Mus musculus: one gene and its partner. The protein of the gene in region 1 binds, or shares a complex with, the protein of each later gene. Links are inferred from orthologs where the notes say so. Each region holds a gene or a part of one and is shown on either strand. Other genes may lie near its edges. The genes, in order: Polr1e and Twistnb.

Evidence for each region.
Region 2: Polr1e (region 1) and Twistnb share a complex: the UniProt entries of both Homo sapiens proteins name them as parts of the RNA polymerase I (Pol I) complex. The link is inferred for Mus musculus from reciprocal best matches to the Homo sapiens genes POLR1E and POLR1F.

The regions. Positions count from the first base shown.
Region 1 is NC_000070.6:45,017,360-45,021,678, forward strand, and holds the start of Polr1e (DNA-directed RNA polymerase I subunit RPA49), read left to right. Parts: upstream 1-1,249; 5' UTR 1,250-1,312; coding exon 1,313-1,433; intron 1,434-1,914; coding exon 1,915-2,018; intron 2,019-4,319. UniProt on the Homo sapiens protein: Component of RNA polymerase I (Pol I), a DNA-dependent RNA polymerase which synthesizes ribosomal RNA precursors using the four ribonucleoside triphosphates as substrates.
Region 2 is NC_000078.6:33,432,616-33,436,431, forward strand, and holds part of Twistnb (DNA-directed RNA polymerase I subunit RPA43), read left to right. Parts: intron 1-889; coding exon 890-1,031; intron 1,032-3,816. UniProt on the Homo sapiens protein: Component of RNA polymerase I (Pol I), a DNA-dependent RNA polymerase which synthesizes ribosomal RNA precursors using the four ribonucleoside triphosphates as substrates.

The DNA of each region.
Region 1 (4,319 bases):
CAAACTTGGTAGCAAGTGCCTTTATCCACTGAGCTTTTTCCAGACCTCTCACTCAACATTTGCTGAGGTCCCCCCCCCCCCCACTTTTTTTTTTTACAGGACCTTTCAGGAGTTGGAGGTGCAGAAGTGAAAGAAATGAAATAAACTTTCTTTCTGGCTGGGTGTGATGGTGTGTGTATGTAATCTCAGCACTTGGCAAGAGGATGGGGAGTCACCCTCAGGCACAGAACAAGTGGAGTTTGAAGACAACCTGAGCCCAAAAGGAACAGAGACCTCAGTCCCTTCTTCCTCCTTTCATCCTTGACCACCAGATGAGCAGTTTTGCTTTACCATACATTCCCTCTTGGGACCCAAATAAATTAATAATTTAAAAAGTGAAATGTTTCTAATAGGCTCTACCATTCATTACTAACCTCAAATAAACTGAGTATGGAAAAGATTCTGACAGAAGGGGGGATGACTAATTAGTTAACTAAGTCCTTTTATATTCTTTTTTCCTTTCTGGAAAGAATCAATAGAAAATCACTGGGTAGAGTCAAAGAAAGTGTAACCTTCCAACCAAAGAGTTGTGACAGCTAGAAGCAAAGTATAATTTGTGTGTATGTGTGACAGTTCTCACTTGAACTTGCCTCAAATTCATGGCAGCCCTGCTCTTAAATGCTGGGATTACAAGTGTAAGGCTGCAACACGGTTTCTGACAGGCTCTTTTAGCTGAAAAGGCAGTATCAAGGCCGTTGGGGAAATTGAATACTACAAGATTACATGGTTGAATCACTGTTAGCTCTCTTATTTGGGTGGCTGCATTGAAATTACTCAGGGAGAAACCCTACATTAGTCAGTTTTTTTCTATTACCTTAACAAAATATGTGAGACAAAGCTGGTGGTCTAATCTCCGTGAATTTGAGGCCATTATGTTTCACAGAATGAGTTCCAGACCAACCAGGATTACACACATGGTGATAGCCGGCCTTAAACGACAATAACAACACAAAATGAAGACAGCTCATAAAGAGGAACGGTTTCTTTTATTTTGGTTCACAGTTCTGGAGATTTTGGTGTGACTGGTCCCACAGCTTAGAGCCTGCGGTGAGCAATACAACACAAAAGTGAAGCTGCTCTCCTGGAGGTCCGAGACGAAAGGGGAGTTACTGCATCCTCCTGCAAGGGGGAGGGTGTGATCCTCAAGGGAAAGAACCAAAGAGTGGGCGGGGACGCGATCCAGTGAGGGGCGTGGCCTTACTGCTGGTGTACCCTGGGCGGGGCCTAGAATGTCACTTCCGGTTTTTGAGTCCGCGTGTGAACCGGCGAGCTCATGGCTACTCTGGAGTCTCCTGGGATGGATGACCAGGCTGGAGACACGGAGACAGAGGCGCTACAGAGTGCAAGGTGGCTGTACTGTGGAGAGCCCGACGACAGGCAGAAAGCTGTGCTGGGTAAAGACCGCCGACCCGGAGCGGAGTTCCGCGTAATCCTTTCCGCTTCTGTCTGGGTACCACGGTAGCCCACTGCCTGCAGCCGGGACAGGTTCCCTGCCACCATCACCTTTTCCCTCCGCATTCATCTATCGTCACCACTTCGGACTCGTCTCAGGGCAGTGCCCAGGGACCTGACATCTCCACAGCTCTCTCATTTGCCCTTTTCCCCCCTCTACGGAGCAGAGTTTCCTCTCTTGCCAGTTAATGGCATTTCCTCAGTCGTTCTCTTTTGTCACAACCCCTGCCCAGAGGTCACTTCCCCTCCCCTCCTCCATCTCCCTCTTTAGAACTGGACCAGGGCTTTCTTCATACCCCCCCGCCCCCCGAAAGTCGGACTTAAGCTCCCTTGCCTTCACTACCGGCGTCCAGCCACAGTGCAGGTCTCCCCATCCATACCCTGCTGGTCCTCGCCTCTTATTCTTGGCTTACACTCTTACAGTCCAGTTCTCCAATGGGAAGCTGCAGAATCCGGGCGACATGCGCTTCACCTTGTACAACAGCACCGACTTAGTAAACCCCAGGCAGAGGAGTCACCGGATCGTGGTAAGTGCTTGCTGGTACAGATGGTCTGGGCTCTGCAGACCTCAAAAGGTTCTTGGTGTGGGCAGACATGGGAGACCTGGCCTGGGGGGGAGGAAAGGAGGAGTAGCAAATGAGACTCTGGCCCCACTGAGGAGCAAGATTTTGGGCTTTTCACTTATATGGGCTTTATCTTTCCAGACAGGGTTTCTTCCTGTAGCCCTGGCTATCCTGGAAATTACTATATAGACCTGGCTGGCTTTGAACTCAGAGAATCACCACCTGTCTCTGACTCCGTAGTGCTGGGATTAAAGGTGTGCAGCACCACCCACCCCTGGCTTCATAAGTTGTCCCCCTACATGACCTTATTGAACGTTCACCATGTCCTCATGCCGCAGGCTAAGGAAGCATCTTCATGGGATTTGCACCTCTTAGGGAGGTCACTGTTCAGAGCTCAGCTTCAACCCTATTTTATGTGTATGGGTGTTGTTCATTTTTGTCTATGTACAATGTGTGTGTAGCTAGTGGAAGCCAGAAGTGGGCATTGGATCCCCTAGAACTGGGGTTACAGATGCTTGTGAATCAAATGTGACCCCAGAGTGATGGTTTTTTTGTTTGTTTGTTTGCTTGTTTTTTCAAAGGTTTCTTTGTACAGCTCGGGTTGGCCTTGAACTTAGAGATCTACCTGTCTCTGCCTCCTGAGTGCAGGGATCTGGGATTAAAGGCCTGTGCCACCACCACCCAGCTCCACAGGATGCTTACTAGCATCTCTGGTCTCTCCCGGGTAGATGCCAGGGTTAAGACCGGTCTGCTTTCCAGAGACTCAAATTCACCAAGTAGTACAGGCATACAGTAGAGCTAGCTTGGGGTCTAAGGGAGTGTTTAGGGCCTGGGGAGGGAGCTCTGTAGGAAACAAGTCTCAGCTTGTCTGAATGCCTTCCTGAGAAGGGTGAATGGGAATGAGGGACGATTTGATAGCAGATGTTTGGTGCCCTAGTGAACGAGGGAGAAGAAAAGCTTGGCTGCGATGGGAAGCCAGCCCTCATAGGACGAGCTAACGTCAGAAAGGTCACAAGGCAGTTATGTATAGGATCAGTTAGGTACCTATAAGTGCTAGGAGACCAAGACCTCACTGTATAGTTCGTTGTGCTGCTTATTCAAGAACTGCTATTTTCATCTGTATTCCCACTGCCTTCTGCCCACTGCCCTCCCCCATATCCCCCTCCTGCTGGTCCCTTGCCTCCCTCCCAAATAAGTCGCTCTTTCATGACATACATACTGGGCTGGAGAGGTGCCTCAGCATTAAAGAGCACTTCCAGGGGACCGGGGTTCAATCCCTGAACCCACATGGAGGTAGCAACTGTCTATAATTCTAGTTCCTGAGAACACAACACCCACTCCTGGTTCCTGTGGGCACGTCATAGATAAGGCATGCATGTGTGCATAAAGGCAAAGCACTCTCAACACATCAACATTATATCTCATTACATACATACTATATCAGCCTCTCGTTTCCCTTCTTTTGCACCTCTTATGATTCCTTTCAACTCTCATGCCTTGAATGTGTGCATATTCACACACACACACACACACACACACACACACACACTCTAAATCTAGATTCTGCATAGGAGAGGAAAACCTATTTTCTTTATCTGTTTTTGTCATTGATGCGCATCTAAGCTGGTTCCATTTCCTGGCTGTTGTGAATCGTGCAGCAGTAACCATGATTGTAGAAGTACAATACAGTGTGCTAACTGAAGAGCCTTCTGGGTGTATGCCTAAGAGTGGTCCAGCTGCCTCACACAGCACTTCCACTTGTAGTTTTTGAGACCCCTCCACACTGACTTCCACTGTGGCAGCAATAGCTTGCACTCCCACCAGCAGTGAGTAACGGTTCTTTCCCCACATCTCTGCCAGCATTTGTTGTTAGTTGTTTTCTCGGTGATAGCTGTTCTGACTGGGGCGTGATGGAATCGCAAAGCATTGTTTGTTTGCTTGTTTGTGTGGTTGCTATTTCTCTGTGGAATAGCCCTGGCTCTCCAGGACTTGCTTTTTACACCAGGCGGGTCTCGAACTCACAGAGATCCACCTGTCTCTGCCTCCTGAGTGCTGGGATTAATCACTGCATGAGAATGCGCGCGCGCGTGTGTGTGTGTGTGTGTGTGTGTGTGTGTGTGTCTGTGTGTCTGTGTGTCAGTGTGCATGTGTGTAAATCAGAGGACAATTTAGGAGATTGCTTCTGCCCTTTCCCCATGTGGCTCTGGGGATCTATCTCAGGTCATCCTCTGGGCTTTACCCACGAAGCCAACTCAATAGGCATCA
Region 2 (3,816 bases), on another chromosome or scaffold:
GGTTTCCTAATTTGGTAACTATTGCAATTCCTTTCCTATGGGTTGTGGCTGTTTCACTAGAATGAAATCTATTATAGAGAAATCCTTTCTCTTTAGATGAACTGTACTAGAAATTGAGACCAATAAAACATTTCTGCTGTTCATGGCCTTAGACTTGTGTTTTGAATCTAAACATATACAGATGGATTCAATAAAATTAGGTTACAATTAGTAATACATTTTTACATGTGGTAAAGAAGTGATTTTCTTTCTTTGGATGGGGGAGTCAGGGGAATTTCCTTCAGGAAATTTTTCATGTGGGAGAAATAAGAAAGCTCATATGTCTGTCTTAGTTAACTGGCTTTTTACAATTAATCATGGCTTGTTAGTCTCGACTTGAAATGTGTCTACTAAGGGTCAGCTCTCAAATGATATGGTTATGTACATTAACATGTCTTTTCACTAGAAAAGGTTTTAGTTTGGTATTTTTCTGTAATTAAGTCATTGGTTCCAGTGATCAGAGACTGTAGCTTAAACAGTCAAGCTTCCCTTATATAGTATCACATAGAAACTAGTAATAGTAGGTTGTGTCACAGTTGCCTGTATTCAGTCATACAGTATCTAGATGTTTTCCTTGCTTAGGCCCATTATTGCCCCTGTATGACTGGTTCAGATAGGTAGCATGTGCGTGTCAGTTTATTACCAGTGCATAGTTCTGAATACCCATGCAGACGGTCACTTTAACTTAACTAAGACATTGGAGTTTTTTGATAAGCTGTAATTGCTAAGATCTGCTAGTGCTAGTCTATAAGACTAGGTGATGCCGTTATGTTTGGGAAAGGGTGGTATATCAGAGGTAACAGTAGATTATCTTTAACTAGAATTAACAGTATCTTTTCCCCCTTAACAGCCTTTTAGGTGTCCCTATTGCATATGATAACATCAGAGTTGTGGGTGAACTAGGAGATATTTATGATGATCAAGGACACATTCATCTTAACATTGAAGCAGATTTTGTTATTTTCTGCCCTGAGCCTGGGCAGACGTTAATGGTATGTACATCATTTTTCTTTTCTTACGTCCTTTACAACATTTTTTCTCTGTGAACCCCCACCCTGGTTTAGCACCCTTCCTACTCCCTAATAATCACACTTCTCTCCCAGGTTCCTTTAAAAAGGAACTTCAGTTTCCACATAGGAGAGGAAGCTGTAATTGTCTGTCAGTGCCTGTTTACTTCACTAACGTGACACACTTCAGCGCTCTTCATTGCTGCAGATCACAGGAATTCATTCTTCTGGGTGGATGTTTATTCCACTGTATTGCACTGTGTGTGTAAACTCGGGTTAGCCAGTCATCTCCTGACAGGTGTGTAGACTGACTGAGTAGTGCCGTGTAAGCACGGGCGGGTGCTCAGTGTTGAGTTTACTTCTCTTGGGTTGTTATGGTCACGTGGCAGCACTTCCTTTTTAGTAGTTCCTGTAACGTCTGCTGGTTTACAGTCACAGAGGAGCTTGTTTCTTTCACAGCTTTTCAGTATGTCAGTTTTGTGGTTATTAACTCTCTAGGTGGAATAGCGAGTCATTTTCTTGTTGCTGTAACAAAATACTTGACAGAAAAAGCTCGAAGGATGAAGGTTTTGTTTGGCTTCTGCTTTACATGGCAAGGAAGACGTTTTCATCCTGCTGGGCCAAGAAGCAGAGAAAGGAATACTGGTCGGACTCGATTTCTACTTTTCTCTTACTCTCTCTGAGCCCCAGCCTTGGTTCTTTCGCAGCTCTGTTAATCCTCTATGGAAACTGTCTCATAGACACACCCAGGAGTGTGCTAGTAGCTAGTAGTATACTAGGTAATTCTAAACCCTGTCAAGCTTTGAGAGTGCCTAGCCATTGCAGATAGATCATTGAAACTGTGCTTTGGATTTCCCTTGTGGCTAAATGTTTATTGGTTACTTCTACTTCTTTTGAGGTATGTTTAGTCAGATCATTTGCCCATTTTTAATTGACTTACTTTTTTGTTCTTTATATTTTGAATATTAACTCTGACATTTCTCCTGTAATTCCATTCAGAGTCCTCAAAGAAAAAGAATACACACACACACATACACACACTTACTTTAACTGGCTTGCAAAGCAAGATGGTTCTTTTTATTCGCTTTTACATTCAGCTTTGGATATTATTTTATTCCTTCTTTTATTTATCTCTATAGATTGATGATTTACTCTGTCGATCTCATTTGATTCTGTTATTTCTCTTGTGTGACTAGTGCAGTGACGGTTACTCTGACACTATCATTTATGTACTCTGAATGTTTTGTCTGTTCACTGTTTGCATGTAATGCCTACAGAGGCCAGAAGAGGGCCTCAGATACCCAGGACAGAGTGTGCGCTGCCATATGAGTGCTGAGAATCAAACTCAGGTGCCTGGAAGACCAGCCAGTGCTCCTAACCACTAAGCCTTCCCTCCGGGCCTATATAATTGTCTTGATGCTAGTGTTCTTTCTTCTACTTTGGGTTGTAGGACTCCCATAAGCATTTCTTTTTTTCTTTCTTTCTTTTTTTTTTATAAGATAATCACAAATGCTCTTAGGTTTTACTTATCTTAGAAAATCATTGTTTCTTACTTTCATAGAATATCCTTGCTACTAGTTTATAGGATGTGGTAGTCACGACTGACAGTTACTTTATTTTAGGGATTGAAGCTTGTTAACCTGTACCTACTTGGCCTACTGGATTGATTTTCCTGGTTTTCTGAGTTTGTTTATTTATTTTTGTTTCTTTCTTTTCCTGATAAATTTGCTATTAATGTAAACAGGTTACTTTTAACTGTGGCCTGGAGATTTTTCTCTGAAAAATTTGAAAATTCTTTGTCCTATATCTTTGAAAATTTGGTTGTAAATGGTTTGGCTGTTTGAGAGTTCTATAAATTTCTTGCACATGATTCTGTAGTTTTTGTCTTTGCCCTTCACTTCCCTCTCCTTCGAGAACACCATTTATATAGTTATTTTCTTTCATGGTGTTTCAAAGATCTTAATTACTGTTCTAATTTTTTCCCCTTTCATTTTTTTTTTTTGAATGTGATAATTCAAAAGAATTCTGTTCAAGCTTTGTCGTCATTTCTTCCACTTGACCTAATCTGATAAGGGGTTTAACTGAAGTTTTTAAAACTAATTACTGTATTTGAGAGCTTTATATACTTTAGTTTGATTATATTCACTCCATTCCCGTAATCTTCCCAGCTCCTCCCTCTCCCACCTGACTCATGTTATCTCTTTTTTAAGTCCAGTTTGTTTTGGCTGACCCCTGGACATGGGGCCCTACTGCGAGTGTCCTTGGTATGCCAGGTATCGCACCATTAAGTAGAACTGAATTTCCCTCTCCACTAGCAATTAAATGCCAACAGCTCCTCAGCTGGGGTGAGGACTTTGTGTCTCTCCATGCTGGGATTTTGTTTGGCTTGGGTTTGTGTAGGTCTTGTCCATGCTTTTGTGCAGTAAGCCTTTTCTTGAGGAGCTGGTTTCTCACTCCAGATAGGAACCCCATGACAGACCAATATCACTAAAGCCTAACTTTGTAAACCAGTGAGTATTACTAGGGTTATTTACAGGAACACTACAAGTTTTTGTCTGGCTCTAGGCAGATTCATTGTAGATGGATCAGCCCTAGGCTCTTAAGTCATAGATGAGGCCATTAGAGCCAACAAGCTACATTACACCTGAGTTCATGGCAGACATTTTTATAGGTATTGCTGTGGTGGATTCATGATATAACATTGCCAGAACCAGCCACAGGTGATGCTATCTGTGATTTGTACAAGCCCAGTACTTTGGCTTCATGTATG